Drosophila melanogaster: one gene and its partners. The protein of the gene in region 4 purifies or fractionates together with the protein of the main gene of each other region. This does not show direct contact. Each region holds a gene or a part of one and is shown on either strand. Other genes may lie near its edges. The genes, in order: CG34205, CG10237, Uxs and CG11596.

Region 1 (4,049 bases), on a different chromosome or scaffold from region 4:
CGGCATTTTGCACCCATTTTGGAGCACACGCCGCCCGATCGCCAAATCCAAATGCGGCTAAAGACTCGCCTCTCGATCGAAGCCATAAAAACCAAGACGAGGATCGATCGGCTGATCGCCTTAAATCGTCATTTAGTATGTGGCAATTTGGCATTCGAGTTTGCCACCCTTCTGATCCACCGACCGATTGCTGGAAAATTGCTTTCCACCTGGCCAAAATGTGGGGCAGTGGCTGGGAAATCTTTTATTTATGAGGACCGGCGACACACCGACCACAACACACAACACCGATCTGTCCGCATCTGTCCGGATCGAATTGGACATGGAACACTTGTTTGGCAGTCGCCGACCACTGGCAACAATTGCTCCTATTGACTTAATATTTGCTAATAGAATTCACATAAATCACATTCCACTGGCATGCATGATTTATGCATGAACTGCGATCGCAGGTGACTCTCTGTCTCTTTTGCGGCGTTTCGTGCTGTCCTTTTCTCATTGTGCTAAGTTTTTTTTCGAGTTTTTTTTACGAGATTTCGGCGTTGAAGTGGTGTTTTCGAGACCTCTTGAGAGGAACTCCACTGAAGTGCTGCAAGTTGCATGCGCTAATCTGAGACATTATGTGCTTTCCAAACTTTAGTTTCTTAACCCTAATATATAAAGCAAGTATTTAAACACGGACTACCTTATTGTCTCAAAAAGTTATGTAAAGTCCACAAAAATATAAATCATTTAAGAAATGAATATATACACCATATCTATACTTAAAGCGAATAAGTGATATAATGATTACTTGAGACACTATTAATCCGTGATAAGGATCACGACGAGCATTCTCAACAATTTGTAGCATTATTAATTTTGTGATGACCCAATGTCACACCTCCGTACCCCCGCACATCCCGTGGGGTTAATCAAGTCGGCCATAAAAAATCCCACGAACTGCCAGATGCTGAACCGGCAATTTCAGCCGGCAAAGTCGATGGATCGATGGCGAGTTGAAGCTGGAGCTGGAGCTGGCGAACTGGGGCCTCCACTCGATCCAAACCCCCTCGCCACGCACGAGTGTCCTCGAGACGAGACGGCGTGGCTGCGGCTGAAATCACCCATCCAATATGGTCAAATGTGGCACGCAGCGGCATTCGAGGCACGATAAAGATAAATATGAAGCTCGCCTAGATATTTCGGCCAGAGGGGATTGCTGCTTGGTGTTTGGTTTTGGCGTTTGCCGATTTGGCAAGCGTTCATTATGCAATTTGGAGAGAATTTCCCAGCGCCACGCCGAGAATTGTTTCGAGAATACTCAAACATAGCAACGAAAACAATTAGACGGCATTCTACGTTGGCTAATTAAGTTGTTAGTGGCAAGGCTGCGTGCTTTCGAGGGGCGTGTCACCTGGCGCGTTGCCCAAATTGGCCAGCTAATCAGCGATTTCAATTAGCGTGCGCTTTCCAAATGCGAGCCACAATGGCACCCCCAGTGTAAAGACCGCCTTTCCTGCGGCGACTCCTTAGCCGGCAAGTGGTCTGCCTTCGGTTCGGAGCTCCCAACTCCCAGCTCCAGTTCAGGTTGCGTCATCCGCGTTTGGGGGCTCTCCAATCCGAGCTGCGTCTACGAGAATTGCAGTTTCACTGCAGCCGAGATACTTCACAAATTGGTGCTGCTTGGCCCGCTTTGTTGACTGCTGTCTGCTGACTGTTTGTCCGTCCGAGGCTCAGATCGAAATCTAGTCAAGATCTGTCCGCTCGACCACCTGTCCTCCGGTCCGCAGTTCGCAGTCCGCTCGAGAGTGCGAGTGCGTGGTCTGCCGTCGAGGGGTATAAAAGTAACGCAATGCACACGTCCACTTACAGTTGCAATTCTCCCTCCAAGCCAAGTGATTCGTTATCCAGCGCTAGCATGAAACTTCTGGTGAGTGGAAAGGGTTGGAAAGGATGCGGCCTAGGATCAGTATTATCACTTTAAGCCAATAATACTGACTGCAAAGGATATCTTCATACAAGGATTACCTCGATCTTATATTCACTAGATCAAAAAGATTAACATCAAAGTTTGGTTTTCCATTTACCTCGCCAGATCCTTACCTCTCTGCTGGCTGTGGCCACTGCTGCTCCTGGACTCCTTGATTATGGACACTCGGCTCCGGACTACAGCTACGCCCATGCCGCTCCTGCCATAACATATGCAGCTGCAGCTCCAGTCATCAAGTCCTACGCTGCCCCAGCCATCACCTATGCGGCTCCAGCTCCGGTGATCAAGTCCTATGCCGCTCCAGCCATCAGCTACGCCCATGCCGCTCCTGCCATCAGCTACGCCGCTCCCACGGTGGTCAAGTCCTATGCTGCTCCTGTGGCGGTCAAGGTGGCAGCTCCAGCCACCAGCTACTCGCACTTCAGCTCGGTAAGATCTGGATATACTCTGATATTTTCCCATTTAATCTTACAATCTACTTTGCATGCACAGGTTGTTTCCCATGCCACGCCCATTGTTAAGTCGTACGCTGCGCCTGCCATCGCCTATGCTGCTCCAGCTCCGGTGATCAAGTCCTATGCCGCTCCAGCCATCAGTTACGCCCATGCCGCTCCAGCCATCAGCTACGCTGCTCCCACGGTGGTCAAGTCATATGCGGCTCCAGCCATCAGCTACGCAGCTCCTGCCCTGGTTAAGTCATACGCTGCACCTGCCCTGTCCCTGGGTGGATACGGTTACCACTAAGCTCCGATACCAAAACACTCCAAATCCAAATCGATCCCGGATCGGAGTTGGAACAATGGCAGCAATTAACTGCGAGGAGTCGCAACAGCCCAGCACGCTCTCCCACTTTTTCAACTTGTAGTCGCAAAATCTTCACAATCTTCTCTGTTTACTTCTTATTTATTTAAGAACCATTAATATTCTCTCAAATGCACAATAAAGAAAAATTCTGTTTTTCAAAACCCACTCGTAATATCTACGATGGCAAAGGTTATAATGACCAAGATTGAACTCAGGTTGTTCAGGATCTTGGCCATATGGTGCCAGGGATTCTCCTGAATGTCGCAATAGTCGGTAGACTGTAGGAATATAGTGAATTGCAATACGTATATGTGTTCAATAGGGGCTTAACTACTCACATCCGAAAATCTCAATCCCAGAATGCATCGCAGAACATTGGAGTTAATCACCCTAACCAGCCAGCCAGGAGCCTTCGATCTGGGTGGATATAGATCCAGCCATATAATGCAGATGTGCAGAATGTAGCAATAGGTGGTGGTCATCATGATGACTTTATATGCAGTCACTGTAGGAAAAGTGAAAATTTGAATTTGAAAATTATACACAGTGAGTTTTAGTTAATTGATTTAAAACTTACTCATGGGCGGCACATAATGCGGAGAGGCGTAGCGCGTCATGTACATTAAACCCCAGGCGGCAATCAGCAAGGCGATGAGAATGAGGGAACTCCTACGAGTAGAACGCAGTACAAAGGACAAAATCAGGAACATCTGGCAGGCTGAAAGAATATATTGTAGTTATATGTTATTCCATAACAAGAAATCAAACACATTTTCATATTACCAATCAACGGCAAATAGAAGACGGTCATGTAGAAGCTCCGATTCCTTTGCAGCGTGAACTCAATTGCCACATCGCCGGTCATTTTCTGCATCATTCCCTTGGGGTTGTATCGCCTTTGCGAATCGTTCTCCACCAGCACCACGGACATTTGCGTGAACGACCAGCCGGATGGCGTGTTCACGTGCTCATTGGGCGCAATCGGCTTGCGCTGATCATCGTAGATTAGCGCCACATTCTCCTGCCCCTCCTGGCCATTGAGACCCAGCTCGATGTCGCAAGTCACTCGCTCGCTTGGCCAGTTTCGGGCACTGTCCACACACCAACTGGCCAGCTGGAGGTTTTGAGCGTACAGGGTGATGCTTCCGTTGGCGTAGACCATCAGCTCATAGGATTGGAGGACCTGACCCATGGATTGCAGGGCGCCGTTGAGGACGTTCATATGCGGCTTCCATATACGAAGGTCAGGATGTTCGAAAGATTCCAGCGAGCC
Region 2 (8,132 bases), on a different chromosome or scaffold from region 4:
GTGACGGATGCGTTCGTCCTTGGCCTTCGCCAGTGGCGGCACATGGAGTGCGTGGCCGAGGCGGAACTGCGCCAGCACGGCGACACCATTGACCTCACCCGCCCCATTCGCCTGGTGCAGCGGCGCATCTGTTGCACAGGCGGAGGAGGCGGTGGCGGCGGCGTAGGGCAGGACGCGGATGGCGATGATGCCGCCATGCACAGTCCGGGCAAGAAAGTGTTCGGCCAGAAGCGCAACGCCAGCAAGGCGCCAGCCACCAATTATCGGCTATGAGCAGACAGACAGGAGCTGTCAGGAAACTTACGCTTAATTTAACCACTCACCCCGCCGGGTTGACCTTCAGATTCAATGCATTCCAGTCCGCGGAGGGGCAGGAGCTTCAGACCGAAAGGCAACCCATCCACCCAATGTTGATGGCTGTAGAGAGTGGATTGCCTCGTTGTGGTTGATATTCTAAGGGAACTATGCTTCACAGCGAGCTAACTATGAGCTAGCTTCTATGTCAAGAATAGGATCTCCATTTTTACTTGCTATGCTTTAATATTATCTTACTAAGTTATTATTTTGTTATGTTACCGTATCGAATATATGCGGTATGAAATACTCTTATAACAATCGTATATAAGCTTTACCATAACCAAGTGTCTTGCTTGAGGAAAGCAAGCTTTAGGTGTCTAATGTACTACGCATAAGGCAATCAGAATGTAATCACTACATTTTTTCCTTATATATTGCATAATTTCGGAGTGCCTTAAGTGTGTTTATCTGATGTGAAAGCTGGGAACAAACGAATAAATATGAATACCGCACGTGTTTGTTTACAAAGTATGTTTATATTTTAACAATTGGTTTAATGTACAATAGTAAAATGATATAAATACGCTTACCCCGGATTAAAATAATATGCATGTAGGTATAACACTTCTTCTGGCTGCGATCGACACTCCGATCCTGGTTAAGACTAAGGCAAACTCTAGGCGCTACTCACTAACAGGACAAGCGTATGGTAGATCGAGTGCTTAACTATAACGCTCCACGTGGGCTTAATGTGAAGACGTGTGGAAACGAGTGGAGTTGATTATCACGAGCAGCACCAGGCCGGTGGCCACAGATCACTTCTTCTTGTAGCCGTACGAGTTGATGGTGTCGAACTCGGTGTCGCACTTGAGCAGCAGCTGGTACCACTGGTCGCTGTCGATGCGGCTGGCCTCCCGGAATCCTCCGTAGGCGGCTGGCAGGCACTTGGGCGACATGTATTTGTGCAGGGACTCGCGATCGGTGCCATGGAAGATGATCCTGCTGCGCAGCTTCTCCTTGAGGAAGGGCTTGAACAGGGCAAAGACCACCTGGAAAATCTTCGGCTGGTTCACGATGTGAATGGCCTTGATCCGGAGCGGCACCGAGTCCTGAAGCCAGTCCACAATGCGCTTGGCGAACGGAGGCGTAAACTGCCACGTTTGCTGGAGACTGAGGCCATCCATGTCGAAGATCACAACGGCTCCGCAGATCTGTGTTTCTGGCTCCAGCATGGCCGCCTCCAGGAAGAGCACAGCTCCCTTGAACACCTCATCGAGGGTGACCTGCTTGTGCTTCCAGCGCTCTGTAATCGGGGATTACGAAAGATTAATACAGGATCTGCTCAATGCTTGGAGCAACTATGAAACTTCAAATGATAGGAAAACCTGCATCTTAACTAAAATAAACTTTACTCTGAAGATCGAGATCTTTGCACTCAAAAGCTAATATATTGAAGTATCCTTCTTTCAGTGTACTTACTGCCCAGTTCGAGGACCAAAATGCGACGACCCAGTTGATCTCGGTTGGGGAAGACGGTAAGGATGTTGTGCTTGAAGATGTTGGCCTCGTTCGATGGCTTCAGGTCGGTGTACACATCCGCGTGCTTCACCTTGAAGGCGTAGTACCGCTTAATCTGTTCCATATTCAGAATATATACAATTAGTAACACAGCTGGAAACTGGGTTGCCACACTAGACTCACCAGATCACGGGCACTTTCCGGGTAATACTTGCAGGGCCGCAGGTATCTGATCAGCCACTCCTCGTTTCCCTTGGGGTACAGCAAGTCCGTCTCCGCTGGAAGCATATCGCAAATATTAATCGACCTCACCTTCAATAGTCTTAATTCTAAAAAGTCACTAAACCACTGGCATTAAGTTTATCCAGCAATTAAAAGGCAATCGTAATTTGTAACAATAGTTACGAATCTTATGCAACGAAATCCTCTCGAGGGCGCGCTGCTTTTAGCCCCAACTTGTTATTAGTGACACGAAGTCGCCAACTAATGATATAGAACTATTCGTTCGAACTTGGTGTACAAATGGATTTTCAATTCCCAACAATCGGGTAAATTATTAGATGCAGGCTAAGTACGAAGTTTATGGCTTAAGTTTTATTAACTCAAGTTTTTATCAGCTTTTGGAGATCCCTCGGATATAAATTATGAAAATAGCTTAGCAAAATGCATATTGTATGATCTCAGTTCAGATATATGTATATACTTTAAACAGATGTAATGCAGTTTCAATGACTTTCATCATGTGAGTTTTAACTCATGTAGTTAATGTATAATTATATTGATTCAAAGTAAAACTCCATTTCTGATCACGACTCACCTTCTAGAAGACGGGCCAGCTCCTTGGAGGCCTCCTTCTGGCGCTCGGGTGTTTCGCGCAGCTCCTTGATGGCCACCTCCTTGCCCTGGGCAGTCGGCTCGCCCAACTCGAACTGGAGCGTGTAGTCGCCCACCTGGAGCGTGGGCAGTTGGTCGATGTCCGACAGCATGGTGGGTACTCCTGGAAGGGAAGCAGTTGGGGTTCGGTTAGCGACAGCTTCTGTACTTTGAGCTGGGGCTGCGGGTTTCACACTGAGAGCACTGGGAACTTTGGCCAACTAAATAACTTGAGCTAACTGACATCGATTGCCAATTAGTTGTCATACTTCACAATTACTACTTACTCATTTTGCAATTGTTGCTGCTCTGGCTGAACTGAAATTATTCTGCGATTATATTAAGCTATGTGCTTTTTCTAAGCGGTTCGCCGCTGTATATTTTCAGTTTGCCAAATGTAAAATTGTGCCCTCTATTTATAAGAAGAAAAAAGCGTAGAGATTTCAATTTATTAGCGAGACACAAGTGACTCGGAACCGGCTCAACTGCATCGAGTTTCTAGACTTTCCCGCCAGTCAATGCGATGATCGTCTAAACATATCCATATATGTATTCATTTATTTATTAATCACCTGGCCGACCTTCACCTTGACATTCGCAAATTGCTTAAAACGGAAGAAGAGGCCAGAGATTCGCGAAGATAATGCAATTCTTCAGAGATCAGAAAATAACGTTAGGAGCCTTGAACTAAATTCTGGAGACACTTGACGCGTTCTACTTGAGCGTAATTTCCAGTTAGGCAGGTTTCGAATTGCGAGATGAGGAGCCAGGGTCTGTGAGCTTATATAGTGGGGCAGTTGGATATCAGAAATTAGCACACTAGATTTCCCATCAAATCGGAAATTAGCGCTGAAGATTTCCCATCAAATCGAAAATTAGCGTTAGTGCTGGCTCGAAACAAAAGACTAGGAGATTAGCATCCGAAGCGCTGACATTGAAAATTGCTACCAATTTCGGCTAGATGGGCCAGGTGATTTGCTTAGGGTATCGTCTGTTTTTGCATTCATGAATGATACACAAGAGTCTACTGAATCGCTGATGTTGTGTCTGGGAAAATACGAGATCTTAAATAGTACACACGGATCACAACACAACACAAGACAACACAACACGACCGAAACTAGTTTGGCCCAAACTTAAAGGCTATAATGGTATAATGGCTAACAGTATTCCGCAAAGACGGCCCAAAAAACCAGCTGCGAGTGACGCGTGCAACGGAGCTGAAAGCCCAGATGAAACTGTTGCGGCCAAAAGCGCGAGTCGAGATTTTATGCCAGGCCAAGAATTAAAACTGGAATTGTGAGCGGAGCGGCATGAGAGTGGGTGTCGCCGATCGAGACGCCAGTGCTGCCAAGTGGGTTTGTTTCCCGACAGTAACTACTTCTGCTATAAGGGGGTCTTTTAACTATAGTTGTTTAATGCTTTAATGCACCAAAATGAAGTAGTTTCAACATAATAAGCTTCTACTGAAACATATATTTTCTTGCTTGCTTGCACTAGTGATGGGGAATAACTATATAATGCTATTATATGAAACAAGTTGTGCACCCATTAAGTGATCATCACCAGCTGAATCTGAACTTGAGCATGACATTCACGTGCCTCGCAAGAGCGTGGAGTTGCTAGATGGAGAGACACATGGAGTTTGCCCAGGGAGAGCGAGCAAGCTTTACTGGGTCTGGGGTGCATCGTCATTGGGAAATGATGCCACCGCCACCTCAAGCCGGTTTCAGTTTCGCTTTCAACTTGGACTTGCCTAATTTATTCGGGTTTTCTTCGGGTAATCGCCCACAGTACTATTGGGCTCTTGAAAATCCCTTGGCATAGGCATTTCCCATCGCGACCCTGAAGCCCCGTGCCCGTGCATAGCCATCCGGTTTCAATGCTGCCCAGCTACACGCCAATTAGTGCTTACACCTGTTCGGCGTACCTACACCTGGGGTCACCCCACTAGCAATTTGTTGGAGACCACAAACATTGGACACTTGAAAGCATCTTCAACTATTTATAGATCATAGTTATAGATCATAAGATCGCATCTAATGACACCGCATCACCATGTCATATCATATGTCCCTATTTTCTCAGCCCCATGTGTTAAGCCAGGCATATTTGGTATAATTAACACGTCCCAAAGCCGAGCACCCTCTGCGTTGTGGACAGCAAATGGTTCCCGCCCGGTTTTGGACAAATCGGTTCAATCGCACGATCGCACGTGCGAAGACTTCGGCCATTCATGGATACGGATTTACGTTGCGATGATACTCTCGATTTCATTACGGCCAGTTTCGGTCATTTGGTCAATTTTTATTGGCCATCTCGAAGCGGATGCTGACGAAAACTGGGTGGTACAAAGCTGCGAGTATATGGAAAAAACTTGAAGCGAGTAATATGAGTAATTCTGGGGTTACGACCCATTGCAATGTCAACCTTCGCCCTTCGGTTTTTTCTTTGCAAAAAGCGTGTTAAAAACCCTGCATGAGAAACCTGCTTTTGAAGAACGTGACAATGGCGGTTCAAAAGCAAAAGTGCTTTGACCTTACTCAAGAGATGGAAAAAGTACAAGTCGGTAGATATTACTGACATCGAACAAATGGATTGTTACATGAATACTCGCTTGATGTCCAAACAATTTAGATGGCATATCAAAAGGCATTGCAAAAAGTGTTGTTTTTTTTAAATTATTTATATTTTGAATACCTTTTAAATACTCTTTCTCGAACTAATCGTGACTTTCAATTACCAGCACAACTGTATATAAGTTTTTAACAAACTGGTGTATAGTTTTTCGAGCAACTGTAGCCACGCGCCTTATATAAATACATACGTACGTATATAGAAAATAATTCTATTTGAGGGAGATAATTCTAAGAAAATGCATATAGTACTTGCAATAAATATACGATAAAAAATGGGGTTCGGCAGATTTCGCTATTGCTCACCAAGTGGGAATTCAGAGGGCAGGCACCTCATCGCAGATGCAGTGGTCAGCATGGTCATGGCGATGCAGATCGAATGAATACACACACAAGTTACTTTACAACTAACTAAACCGGTATGCACATGCAAATGCTAGCGTATGTAAATAAATTAATATTTCTTTATTCAGGCTGATCGAGTCGGGAGCATCGGCGGTGGCTAAATGGGTCAATGTCGTCGGCGAGTTACTGAACTTTGTCTGAAATTCTCGAGCGACGAGTGCGAAAGGGGGGAATGCATGCAACAGTAATGAGCAAAAGGCAATGCAAAAAACACGGACAGACAGTGATGCCTCGTAAATAAGGGCTGAGCGTAGCTACATAGTGATAGTGATGGTGATCTGGCTAAGATATTTTTATGGTCCCTAGCGCTACACACTCAGAAATGCACTCTTAAAAAGAAAAGCACTCTATATGTATATATATATACAAATGTATATATGAGATCCAATTACTCACCTTGTTTGAATTGAAAATCGGCTAATCCACAAATAGTTGGCTGGTACAGTGGAAATCCTTCGGAACTCCCGTTCGACTCCGATATATGTACCTAGTGAGCTTGGGTCGCGTTTGAAGACTGAAAATACAAAGCTGCTTGTCAAATCGTTTTATAGCCGCCCCTTTTATGCACTGCGTGCATTGCACATATGTATTGTACGACAAAGTTATAGTTATCAAGATATATACATAGGTCGGTCGGAATAGTCGGGCACTCGTAAGGCCAGCGCGACTTAATAGGTCATTATAAGCGACCGATTCGAGTTAAGAGCTCTAAAGATCACGTCGCGAATCGCCGCATGGGATCTTCTTTTTTTTTTTTGGCTTGTTTTGCATAAGTTCACCTGAAAATGGTTCACTGAGCTCAGCATTAATTTTATGTTATTTCCATTGTTTTTAGTACGTTAAAGTGCCAAGACAAGTGCGGTATTTCTCACGGTGCAGCGCACTCAATCGATTTTCCACAGCAATTAACATTATTAAATATAATGTTGCAGAAGGTACACTGAAAGTAAGTGAGTACTACAAAATTCAAGAACTTTCTTCACTTTGTGTGCACTTTTAGAAATGTTCTTGACTTAAAACAATATAGTTATTATTATTATTATTGAAAAAATCCGTACTTTCTATCAGGAAATCCACTTTGCTATATTTTGTAACTATATACACTTTGTAACTTGTACTGTTTAGCACTTTCGAGAAATTCTCATCTGCCACTTGCGAAAAGTCCACTTCCTATATTTGTTCTAGAATGTAAACGAAGGAATATTTTCATTTCTCGTCGCAAAATACGAAATTTTTAAGTTAGCTATATAGCATCGGGGCACTTTCGCAATCGCGGCACAGCTTTATATATGTATATATATTTATATTAAGTGCGTGTTCTGAGCGTTTCGCACAGTGTATCGTGGTTAATCTTCTGATGGTTACGCGACTTGGATGCAATTAGACTTGAACTTTTGAACGCTCCGTACACGAGTAGTTTAAAGACTAATCGCCTTCGCCACTGTGACTGAGTGAAAAACGAGTTTGTAATCCCTCTTACGGATCGTAAGTGTGTAAGTTATTGCTTTGGCTATCACTCCTCCCGTTCGACACAACAGTAACTTTCTGCTTTTCTGCCGGACACTAGCTAATGTACCTTCTTTCGACTGGCGTGTCCGCGTTCCACGATCAAGTGATCAACTGACTGACGGGGGCTGTGGGTAATTCGAGCTCATTTGCTTTTAGTTTCAAGCACGAGCAATTAATTAAGTATTTCACTGCTCGCCGTTTCCAAATGTATTTCCATGCCATTTCTTGCGCTTGCCTGAGCCCATTCTGCGTGTCGGACCGCCATTCCGCCATTTAGCCATTCGGTCATTCCGTCCTCCAGTCAGACGATCACCTTCGAGCACGGAGCTACGTCAGCCTTTAAAGTCCGGCGGAATTTCGTTGGGCAGCCAAGTGCAATTAGCTAAGTCGAAGTACAGAACGCTGAAAGTTAAAAGTAACCCACTGATGGCATTAATCAATTTACGAACACGCAATCCCAGCGACAGCTGTTGATACGCACAGCGCGCTTCACATGGACATACAGACAGACAGACGGACAGACACTCCATTATCTATTAGGTATTTACATGCATTTAATTTGAATGTCAAATTCAGATTTATGGCCTAGCCTATGAGAGTTACAAACAATGAGAGTCGATTACATATGAATTTACACCTATTTCTAGTTCTACGTATGCATATCGATTCAATTCATCCATTCATTCCGTTGTATTGTCGAGTATAAAACGTACATTTGACTAATCATATAGAGATATTGTGCAGACAATTGTTGCTAGATATTGCTTACGATGAACTACAAAAGCGTTCTCGCCTGTTTTATACGTTTAAAGCTTAGACTACGTACAAAAGGTTTGGGTTAGTAATATGTCAACGATATTCAATGCTAAAGTCTTAGGTAGCGCTTAAGTGTAC
Region 3 (5,701 bases), on a different chromosome or scaffold from region 4:
TAAAATTGCAATGAAATCGCAAAACTACAAGCAGAGCAGCTGATTTTTTTGGCGATACCTATCGATGTTTTTTAAAGAATCGAAAGTGGCTGGAGAATCAGTGTTACCAGAGGGTGGCGAAGTGAAAAGCTTGTCGCGGTGACCTCTTGGCAGTTTAAAGTACATCGTTTTCTAAAACTATATTTATTTATTGAGTTCAATAAAATTCAATTCAATTCCTTCGTTCAGCAAAGGATATTAATAAAATGAGGGGCTTTAATTGTTTAAAGCTTTAATTGTAAACAATTATTAGAATTATATAGAAACAAGCTTAAGAATCCATCATTAGAGTCCATGTGCTGCGCTTCAGGACGAGCAGAACGAACAAAACAATTCCAAACGCGCTGTGAAAATACTCGGATATTATCCCGACCCATTCCCAGAAAATGTGGAGCCGTGCAGAATACGGAATGACATTGAATATCCAAGTAAGGCCCATCACGATGGAGAGCCGCAGGAACTGTAGGTAACTATGTGGATAATACGGCAAGGATAACTAGTTTACCAAGGTCCAAGGTTTTATCATATCTTACGTCTGGCTGTCAAAGTTTATGCAGTTAATCCTTCCCTCCTCCTCATTTGTGAACTTATTTATACCCCCCTTCACTTTCCTAATGTAAATGGCTGTCAGGGCGAACATGGCGACATTGAAAGTGCTCAGGGCCAGCGACGGTCCACTTATATAGATCCAGACGGATGGGTGCCAATCTGATATGGAAAAGCAATACGTAACCATGGTAACGATTTAAAAGCAATCGCATTGAAAGTTTACCTTTGACCGAGCACCGAATAAAACCGACCAGAGGCAACCAGTTCCATTTACTGGGATCGTTTTCCCAAATCTGATTAACTATATAAATACTTCCCGTCATGATTGCGGCTGTGCTCCAGACGAAGGCGTTGTACCGCAGGAACCGATAGTTAGGGTCGACTCGATTGAGCGACGTCAAGACTTTCCACGTATGGTAGCTGATGACGGAGAGCCAGAGGTTGGAAGCCATCCGGAAAAAGTGCGAGCTGTAACCTGCAAGAAGTCAACGATATAACATTTAAAGCTTCCAGAGATATCTCCAATTCGAACTAACCAGCTGGAGAGCAAATGCCATTCAATAGATTTAAATGATCTAGTATCATGATCAAGCACTGGATAAACCTCGAAACTATACAGCATACAATGCACTTGCCAGTAACATTTCGCAGCTTCTTAATGTATAGATATACTGCGATTGTTAGGACAAAGCATATCATTGTTATAATTAGAACTGAAAAAGAAAATATAAGAAATAAAAAACCAGCTTATTGTAATTAAAAAACTTGCAAAGGGCACACAGAATGCAGTCAGCAGTTTGCACACCAATAAGGAGTTATTTTCGTTTCTTTCTATATAGCTATGAAAACGATATTGATGACTTTTGTTATAAATAATAATTGAATTACTCTCTAAGGATCCAGGAGATATGTGGCTTGTGCAGCGGTGTCGTATTATCCACATGGACTTTGGAAAATCCGAATCAAAGTTGTGCCGGTACAAGCAGTAGTCCTGTTTTTCCATGAAGAGGTCAACGGTAACCCAAAATTTTCCATCCTGGAACCAAACTATAAGTCCACATTTATTGAAGATTTGAATGCTAACCTCTTCTAAGAAATAGTTAAAGTCGCTGATGTAAATCATTTCATCACAATCAAAGAACTCATCTCTGATAATAGCCATATCGGTGAGTGGTACTCGTGCCTGTAGGTCCATGTATGTGAAGTATATATAGGGTTTGAACCGGGCGAGCTCCTCTTTGAGACCATCATCGCATTTTCCGTTGGCCAAAAAGTTCTTGGCTGGGCAGCAGATTCGAATACAGGGCCGCACGCTGCAAACACAGGCCCTTAAATGCTTTTCAATCGGCGTAATCGAACCGTCCCCAAACTGCCTGAACTCGTAGTATCCAGTTAAGCTAGCAGGAATTTCGATGTCATCATATAAATACGAATCGTTTTGCCTTTCAATGTATGAGATATCAACCGTGTCGTAGTAGTTGCACCCGGGAATATCTGCATTTGAGTTGTTCGTAAAAATTAAAAGCAGAACTGTACAGAAAATCACCCAAGGAAGCCTCATGCTGAGCACTACAACACTTGGCACTAAGAACTTTGCCCGACTGGCGATCGATGCTCATCGTTGGCAGTTTAAATAGCCTTCAATAGCCGTTTGGGCAAACACTTTATTCGGAAAGTAGTCCCTGCTGACCAGCCTAAGAAAGCCCTCAAACAAATTTAGTTTTCAAACTCATTTTTTGGCAATTTCCGACCTTTTATCGTTAAAACGAAAAATATTCGTCCCTGGGGAAGATCACCAACAAAAATGTCTAATTCATTATCAATTCATTATAATTTATAATCCAAAATCAAAATGTTCGCCTGTCGATACTTTTGATGTAAATTTTAAAATTAGGCGGGAGCTTTTCCCTGGCGTTAGATTATTAATCCATTTAGAAATTCCGTTTGAGCCATCTGGCCACTCTGGCACCTCCTGATAACGCAATTGTATTGTTTATATAGTTTCTAAAGCCGAACGAGAATGCAATGTGGCGATATCAGTTGCTGATAAGCACTGGAACCCTGCAGTACACAACCCATAACCGACGATGACTGCCACCAAAAAGCGTCTGAAGATCGTTGCAGCCATCTCGCTGCTCCTCCTGCTCCTGGTCTACCTTTACCGAATGGCCAGCTTCTGCCCAAGCGGAAAGGTCGCCGTTTCCGTTCCCGGCGTCGAGGAGGTTCAGGCCAAATGGCCGCCCACGGAAAGTCCGCTACAAAGGAGCCTTCAGATGGCGTACGAGGAGCAGAGCTCTCTTATTCGAGAACAAAAGGCCGAACTCCAGCGCACAAGGGAGAATTTGGCCAGATTGGAGGAACAAGTTCGTAGCCTCCAGACCAGCACACCGCGCAAGTATCCGAAGGTTAAATACCTGAACTATAAGAATCGCAAACGCATACTAATTACCGGAGGAGCTGGCTTCGTGGGCTCCCACTTGGTCGACGATCTGATGGTCCAGGGGCACGAGGTCATCGTGGTGGACAATTTCTTTACGGGACGCAAGCGAAATGTCGAGCACTGGCTGGGGCACGAGAACTTCGAGCTCATCCACCACGACATAGTGAATCCGCTTTTCATCGAGATCGATGAGATCTACCACTTGGCATCGCCAGCCTCGCCACCGCATTACATGTACAATCCGGTGAAGACCATCAAGACCAACACCATGGGCACGATCAATGTACTGGGTAAATATTTATAATATCAATCAAAGAAAATAAGGATTACACCTAACGAGTATATCTTTTTTGAAAGGTCTGGCCAAGCGCGTGATGGCCAAGGTTTTGATAGCTAGCACTTCGGAAGTGTACGGCGATCCCACAGTGCATCCGCAGCCAGAAACATACTGGGGACATGTAAACCCTATTGGACCGAGAGCCTGTTATGACGAGGGAAAGCGTGTCTCCGAGACGCTGAGCTATGCGTATGCCAAACAGGTAATACCTTTAGCAATATATATACTTTTTTGGATAACCACATTCCTAAGCCAGATCGAAAAAAAAACATTAAACTAGCTGAGATCCAGAAATGTGGCAGATTTTTCCTGTTTCGATCGCTAGTTGAGCATTAAATGATCTCAATTGGAATGCTATTAATTGATGTTCCGCTCGGTTGGCTGACGCGAGATAAGATTTCCAAGCGCGAGCACTGACCACATTTTTTGATCTTGGCCAGCAATCTGGGAGTCAAATTAATTGCTCTTTAAATGTATCTGTATCGACAGGAGAAAGTGCAAGTCCGAGTGGCGCGCATCTTTAACACTTATGGACCGAGAATGCATATGAACGATGGACGAGTGGTGTCAAACTTTATACTTCAGGCGCTGAGGAATGAAACCATTACGGTGTATGGAAATGGCAAACAAACGCGCTCCTTTCAGTATGTTTCGGATCTGGTGGACGGAATGATAGCCCTAATGGCATCCAACTACACACAGCCGGTGAATTTAGGCAATCCTGTGGAGCAGACAATCGGCGAATTTGCCGAGATCATCAAGAAACTGGTCGGCGGGCCCAGTGTGATAAAGCAATCGAAGGCCATGGAAGATGATCCGCAGCGCAGAAAACCGGACATAACTCGAGCCCGCCAGTTGCTCCATTGGGAGCCAAAGGTTCCCCTAGAGACTGGACTTCAGCGGACCATCTCCTACTTCCGCAACGAATTGGCGCGTAGCGATCGCTTTCAGGAAAGCTCCAACAAGTACTTTGATACACATACACCGTAGAATTAATTGGGCTTAGCTCTAATTGGTGATGATGGAACGTCTCTAGTCTGCAAATGTAAATATGACCATCGTTAGCACTAATTGTAAGCCCTCAAGGACCACAGAATACCTTTGTCATGGTTAATTTTTTGAAGTTTTGCGATATATCAGCCTATGTATGGATTAGGAAATAGTGATGTATAAATGCGATCAAATGCACTGAATTCTAGAAAACTAATTTGAATTTGTTTAGGAAAAGAAAATCCCCAAAGAATACAGAACTTAGGGAGTATGGAAACAACAGTTACAAACGGTTTATTATTCACGGACGACATTGCTATTCTTTTGACCGCATGTGTACCACATAGACACAGAATCACTGGGTTACATGACACTTAGAAACAGTATAATCCATTGTATTGTAGAACCACTATCGTATTTTAAAAGTGCCCACAAATTCATACGTTACATCAGAAGGTTGCGGCATATACATATATCAGAACCAGTGAGAATTGAACAAATTATTGAAGATCTGTGACTCACAACTTTAGACACATAACACCTATATGCGCCTTTAACCAGTGTAAGCACACCCCGATTCTAGAAGATAAGTAGGGTTTTCCAGTTGCTGTAGTTGGTAGTCCATTAAAAGAGATTTTTTCTGCGAACTAATCTTACCCGACAAGTATTTTACTATTTATATACATGGCTTATCCTACGCTTAATCTACTCTAGTATACATCCATATATACCTAAGACTATATTTGCACCTTTGCTTATCAGCTAGATCAACTAGTTTGGGCGCCCGCATAATCCTTTTCACCTGGCCAGCGGCTCGAGCATCTCGAGGAACAGTTTCTTCATGGTAATGACTTCATCGCGTGCAATTCCACGCCAAAATCTTCGCAGGATATCATCCGCCTGCCGCAGCGAAGGCAGCAAAAGCAGCAATTGTTGCTGATGCGACACGGCCGACGAATGACGCAGCAAGTAGACCACATCGTTTAGAGAATTAAGAATCGTATCACGAAATGCGCGCAGGGAACTCTGATCATCCAGCAGAATGTCGCAGTTGGCCAGCAGGAGCGCCTTTAGCAAGTAGTACTCCTCCCTTCGTGGCGATATTCTTTCCATGCGCTGTGCGATCTGGACGCAGTGGTAGTAGAACTCCGTGTAACCGCACTCCTTGGCCAAATGTTCATCCATCCAGACATCCGTGGCGAAGCATAACTTGCCATTGAACGGTAGGGACCGGAAGGTCAGCTGGAGCGTCAGGATCTCTGCCCACGACACCTGGAGAAGCTTCATCTGGTCGTTAAGTGGCAGATCTATAAAGCCAGGTATCTGCTTGGCCCAGCCAATGACGC
Region 4 (5,803 bases):
TAAGTTTGGGGAAGAAGGCATAAGTATAAGTCAGTATTATTTCACTCCATCTCTGTCTTTTTCTAGTCACATCTTCTGGGTCGGCGATTTGAATTACCGCATCCAGGAGCCGCCCGGCCAACAGCGACCAGGACCACTGAGCGATGCCCAGACATACGAGCTGCTACTGCAGTACGACCAGCTACGTCAGGAGATGCGGCGTGGAAAGTGCTTTGAGGGCTACACCGAGGGCGAGATCAAGTTCCGGCCGACGTACAAGTATGATCCGGGCACGGACAACTACGACAGCAGCGAGAAGCAGCGGGCGCCGGCCTACTGCGATCGAGTGCTCTGGAAGGGCACGCGCATCGAGCAGCTGGCCTACAACAGCATCATGGAGATTCGGCAGAGCGATCACAAGCCCGTGTACGCCGTGTTCCAGGTCAAGGTCAAGACTCGCGATGAGGTCAAGTACAAACGGGTGCAGGAGGAGGTGCTGAAGGCAGTGGACAAGCGGGAGAACGACAACCAGCCACAGATCAATGTCGAGAAGACGGTCATCGATTTCGGGACTGTGCGATTTAACGAGCCGAGCACACGGGACTTCAACGTCTATAACAACTGCCCACTACCTGTGGACTTCAGTTTCAAAGAGAAGGATATACACGCCATCTGCGAGCCATGGCTGCACGTCGATCCGCGCCAAGACTCGCTGCTGATCGACTCCGCCCGAAGCATTCGGCTGAAAATGAACGCCAATGTGCGCACCATTGCCGGCTTGCTTCGCAAGATCCGTGCTAGCGACAACTTCGATATTCTCATCCTGCACGTGGAGAACGGGCGTGACATCTTCATCACGGTTACGGGCGACTATCAGCCCAGTTGCTTTGGCCTTTCCATGGAGACGATGTGCCGCACCGACCGTCCATTAAGCGAGTATTCCCAAGATCAGATTAAGCAACTCGTGAGTTCCCTTCATTTTTGTAATTACGAAGTTTTTCTACTGATCACGAACCACGTTTCGTTGCAGATGAATGACGAATCACCGGAATACCGTGTGACGATGCCCCGGGAATTCTTTCTGCTGATCGACTATCTGTACAGGCAGGGCTCCAAGCAGGTGGGCGCCTTCCCGTCCTACGACTCGCGTCTCTCCCTCGGCGCTCAATTTAACTCGGTGCGCGATTGGTTGGACACCTGGTCGGATGATCCGTTCCGTAAGTGGACTCTATTAGATTGCCACCATAATAGTTGTGAATATTCCCTTACAATCTACAGCTGCCAACGCAGAGACGGCTGCGCAGGCGCTGCTGCTTTTGCTGGATCTGCCGGAGCATGCTCTGCTGGAGCCGGTGGTCGAGAATCTGCTGGAGTGCACCAACAAGTCGCAGGCTATGGACTACATTTCGCTGTTAAGTCCCCCCAAGCGCAATGTTTTCATGCACCTTTGTATGTTCCTGCGCGCGGGCATCGAGAGTCAGTTCTATGATCTGCATCAAGTCGGTAGGTAGAGAAGCTCCAGCAGCATTGTACCACCATCGTAACGCCATTCCTCCCACACAGCATCCACCTTTGGCCGCATTCTGTTGCGAAGCACCGAGCGTGCCGCCTGGATGGACTACCACAGCCGATGCATACAGTTCATGCGGCTCTTCATCGACACCGACGTCGAGGCAATGGGCAACGGCAATGAGGGCGCCGGAACTGGAACAGGCTCGGGATCTGGGACCCGGGCGGGTCTGCAGGCATAGTCGCCGCAGCTGTGCCGCCGAATCGGAAGCGAGCGATAGATGTACTACTCTGTTGATAGTTACGCATAGTGTTAAGCTATTTATTTTATTTGTTGGTACTTTGTTGGCACTTAGCATTTATATCTTCTCTGTTTTAACTGTTAATTGTTTGTGCCCGCCCTCCGTTCATTCCAACTCGGTTGTCCCCGCCTGCATCACAAATCCATGGAGACACGCAACCAGCAACGCAAAGATAAATGAATTGTGTAAATAAGTAATTCGTTTAGCACGATTGTTTGTTAGTTTAAATTAATGAAGTGACCCTCTTACATCCCCGTTTCAGTTGCAACTGAAAATAAATAACACCGTTACATACAGTATCAATATTCTGAAAAATCTCTACATTGGCTGTTCACATATTTGGCCACGCCCGCCAAAATTTTCAAAATTAAAAGACGCGCTACGGATTTGTGAGTACGGATGGTATCGATTAAATTCCCAAAGTTATCGACAGTGTAACCAGATCTAAAGTGGCGACTTCAGTTGACGGCAGAGACGACAGCAGAATGCAAAGGCAACGGATTACTCCCAGGATTTAAATAGCATAGATTATCGTTGAAACCGCTGACGACGCGCCCAGATGAGCTCCATGGACTGCGCCACGTTCCCAATGCATCCTAAAATGGACGAGCAACTGGCCCGAACCTTCGTCATCAACGAGGAGGAGGAGGAGAAGCACATTCAGAAGGTGCAGAACGCCTTCCTTTACTATGGGTAATTGTTATTGTTTTTGCGCTGTGTTCTGGAGCACATGCTCCAAACGGACGCTTGCCAACCGATCGTCGTTGAGGGGGGGCGGTGCGGTGACAGCGACATGTGCAGACAAGCTGCCGACAAACTACCGTTTCGTTTGGCGCCAGTGCTGGCGGTGCAGGAGTAATCACGCCAAATCTGGCTAGTGTTTTCAAATGGCTCACCGTTCCTTAGAAGACGCATCTTCTAAAGTATCCAATAGAGCCAAACTACAACTGAGTGTTCATTACCACCATTACTGACATTTGGGTGAAAAATATCTGCATACCAAAGATATCAGATTGCCCATACAGCGTTTGTAAACACTGTAGTGTGTCATCACTGGTGATAAGCGTGCTTGCTGATAATGGAAATCAATTAATTTCTCCCATGCAGGCCATATGCGTGTCAGCGGCTAAAGCGCTCCATGGATTACCTGAACAGCCTGTCTGGCGAGGACCAAATCATGCTAGCCAAGTACCGAGGGCATCTGGAGTGCGTGCGCACGTGCATCGATCGCAACCAGGCGGTTATCCGGGAAATATTGCGCGGGCGTGTCCTCTATCCGACGGATGAGGCGACTGGTGATCCCTCGGAGTTTGACGAGCCGCCGCCAAATGTGCGGCACGGTGACATGGACCAGGTAATTGACTACATCTGCGGTTCAATGCGGAAGCTAGACGGCGCTCCTTCATCATCCCACAAATCCCAATCTAATAGAATTTATGTTCCTCTTTTTACTTTATCTTCTATTTTTCCTACCGCTTTGTAAATGGTCAGTTGAATTTGTCCCTCTTTATATTTTCAAATATTAGAATTACTTTTGGTAAAACAAGGGAAGAGTAATATGTATCTTTAAACTGGTCATTCTTGTGCTTAAAAATTGTTTCTACATGTCAATAGACTACTCACCTTACGTATAGTTTAATGTGCTTGGTTATCCTCCAATATCTTCAGTTTCTCTTTTAATTATTGATTGGAACTATTCGGTATTGTTTCTTTTCCATATCTGTGCACGACACCCAAACCATGCATCTCGCACCCGCTCTAATTCAACTCGCAGATTGATATTCCATTCGATGAAGCTGACGTTGAACCTCTAAAAATTTTAAAGGCCCAGTCGACGTTGAAGTTGATTGCGCGCGACTGGAGCACTGAAGGAGCCTTAGAACGGGAGCAATCGTATAAACCGATCATCGACAGCATCGTTGCGTACTTCAAGCACAGCGATTTGTGAGTGACTACTACACTAAGCGTACTTTAGTGGTCTTACTAATTAATTATTCATCTGCTTTATCTTAAACAGCGAGCTGAAGGATATAAAGATCCTAGTGCCGGGAGCGGGGTTGGGACGGCTCACCTACGAGCTTGCCTGCTTGGGGTACTCGTGCGAGGGCAACGAGTTTTCCTACTTCATGCTGATCGCCTCCAATTTTGTCCTCAACCTGTGAGTCCAGCTCAGTACGTTGCTTTCTAATGCTGGGTATTGAACGTGCTCTGTTGTCTCTTTCGGCAGCTGCGACAACGAGAACAAGTACGTGTTATATCCGTGGGTGCACCAGTATGTGAATAACTTAAGGCGTGAGGATCAGGTGGCCCCCGTTCGTTTCCCAGACGTCTGCCCGCTTAAAAATCCACCCAAGGGCCATTTTGAAATAGCAGCTGGCGACTTTCTGGAGGTCTACAAGACGCCGAACGCCTACAACTGCGTGGCTACGTGCTTCTTCATCGATTGTGCCAATAATGTTATTGACTTCATACGCACAATTTACAAGTGAGTTGCACACATTTGAACGGGTATACCGGCGATGTTGATTTTAACATTATCGTTGCAGAATCCTCGTGCCTGGTGGCATTTGGGTGAATCTCGGGCCGCTGCTGTACCATTTTAGCGACGTCAGCGGGCAAAACAGCATCGAGCCGGCTTTCGAGGACCTTTGCATTATCATGGAAAGCGTAGGATTCGTTATCGAGAAATCACGCACCGGCATCCGTACCAAGTACGCACAGAACCCGTCTTCAATGAAACAGAGCGAGTACCAGAGTCTTTTCTGGGTCTGCCGCAAGCCGGATCTATTTGAGGAGCAGCGGGGCAAACGCAAGGCCTCCAGGGAGCCACACGATCTTATTGTGCGCGAGGACAGCGAGGAGGAGGGGGAGCAACAGCCGGAACGAAATGAAACGGAAGAAAAACAGCAACTGAAACCGCTGGCCACAGCCAACTGCGAGACTGAGATAAAGGAGCAGCCATCGTGATAGCCATTGAACCAAACTCAACAACACATCCAAACACCACAATCAAGTCCAAGTGCAAACCCACCTACAGATGGCATCACGAACATCTTAATTACCACGTCACAGGCAAGACAGGGAATCGACACTGCAGTGCTTCGATGTTATAGATTACACTTTATACCTATTATTTACTCCTACACACTGTTATATATGCCAGTTTTAATTTTTCAAAGGATGCAAATTTTAGGACAATTTCTCGCTCATTATGCTCATCATGCTAACTTAAATGGGAAAAGCGTCCCAACTAGGTCAACCAAATATATCAAAAGAAAATTTTTAAAAATTAAGATAAAAAGTTTTTATTTGTTCAATTACTAGTGGCTTTAAACCGATACCTACCAATTCGATAGCCTTATTAAAGTTAACGCAAGTTCCACTTGCATCAGGGTTCTCGGCACTCGCTGCCGCATACCTCACCTTGATATGACAACCAACATGCTGTGGTTCTCCAAATAATAGTCAAGATAGTTAAGAGGGTTCGAGTTTACGATTAGCTTTATTTTAAGATTCAGTTCGCGATCTGCTAGCGGTTCCGTTATGTGTCCGTTCGAGACTGGGCCTCTTCTCCCGCCCCGCTGCTTTTATATCCGCTTCCCCCGTTGACCCCTCACCCTGAGTGCGACCAACGGCACTTGTTCCGAATGCACACATACACAAACATGTTCCTAGACAGGCCCCGAGTCGCCTGCTGACGGGGCCCGAAAACACGAGAGCCGAGCGCTGGTGAGTCCTGACGAAGATCGCAAGAAGAGGGTTCGTAACTTACACGAACATGTTACTAGACAGGCCCCGAGTCGCCTGCTGACGGGGCCCGAAAACACGAGAGCCGAGCGCTGGTGAGTCCTGACGAAGAGCGCAAGAAGAGGGTTCTTAACTCCTCCCCCCTCAAGATCTGCGTCCCGCAGATTAGTGAGCCTTGTTCAGCTCGGTTTGGCCCAATGCTTCTAAGTTTGCGGCAATCTCGCGGACATCGGGCATGCCTTTGGTGGACATCAGCTTCTTCCATA

What was found.
Region 1: the proteins of CG11596 (region 4) and CG34205 purify together in Drosophila melanogaster (affinity purification with mass spectrometry, with the first as the bait; one large-scale study listed by BioGRID). This does not show direct contact.
Region 2: the proteins of CG11596 (region 4) and CG10237 purify together in Drosophila melanogaster (affinity purification with mass spectrometry, with the first as the bait; one large-scale study listed by BioGRID). This does not show direct contact.
Region 3: the proteins of CG11596 (region 4) and Uxs purify together in Drosophila melanogaster (affinity purification with mass spectrometry, with the first as the bait; one large-scale study listed by BioGRID). This does not show direct contact.

Annotation. Positions count from the first base shown.
Region 1 is NT_033778.4:22,128,996-22,133,044, reverse strand, and holds CG34205 (uncharacterized protein), read left to right. Parts: upstream 1-1,745; 5' UTR 1,746-1,834; coding exon 1,835-1,912; intron 1,913-2,077; coding exon 2,078-2,401; intron 2,402-2,464; coding exon 2,465-2,716; 3' UTR 2,717-2,931; downstream 2,932-4,049. Other genes in the region: NtR, read right to left, coding at 2,932-3,054, 3,115-3,281, 3,354-3,494, 3,560-4,049.
Region 2 is NT_033779.5:19,435,034-19,443,165, forward strand, and holds CG10237 (uncharacterized protein), read right to left. Parts: upstream 5,875-8,132; 5' UTR 5,689-5,874; coding exon 5,631-5,688; intron 3,934-5,630; exon of another isoform or gene 3,261-3,933; intron 3,101-3,260; exon of another isoform or gene 2,980-3,100; coding exon of another isoform or gene 2,976-2,979; intron 2,813-2,975; coding exon 2,633-2,812; intron 2,094-2,632; coding exon 1,999-2,093; intron 1,931-1,998; coding exon 1,777-1,930; intron 1,601-1,776; coding exon 1,113-1,600; 3' UTR 817-1,112; downstream 1-816. Other genes in the region: Rab9, read left to right, coding at 1-273.
Region 3 is NT_037436.4:8,178,366-8,184,066, forward strand, and holds Uxs (UDP-xylose synthase), read left to right. Parts: upstream 1-2,557; 5' UTR 2,558-2,675; coding exon 2,676-3,318; intron 3,319-3,385; coding exon 3,386-3,567; intron 3,568-3,854; coding exon 3,855-4,355; 3' UTR 4,356-5,004; downstream 5,005-5,701. Other genes in the region: mthl7 (methuselah-like 7), read right to left, coding at 311-509, 573-747, 812-1,063, 1,125-1,301, 1,477-2,149; ERR (estrogen-related receptor), read right to left, coding at 5,154-5,701.
Region 4 is NC_004354.4:1,925,437-1,931,239, forward strand, and holds CG11596 (uncharacterized protein), read left to right. Parts: upstream 1-2,246; 5' UTR 2,247-2,349; coding exon 2,350-2,483; intron 2,484-2,735; exon of another isoform or gene 2,736-2,829; intron 2,830-2,897; coding exon 2,898-3,144; intron 3,145-3,564; coding exon 3,565-3,734; intron 3,735-3,807; coding exon 3,808-3,948; intron 3,949-4,017; coding exon 4,018-4,275; intron 4,276-4,336; coding exon 4,337-4,757; 3' UTR 4,758-5,074; downstream 5,075-5,803. Other genes in the region: Ocrl (oculocerebrorenal syndrome of lowe), read left to right, coding at 67-943, 1,010-1,196, 1,258-1,482, 1,543-1,730. UniProt on the Drosophila melanogaster protein: S-adenosyl-L-methionine-binding protein that acts as a sensor to signal methionine availability to the mTORC1 signaling pathway.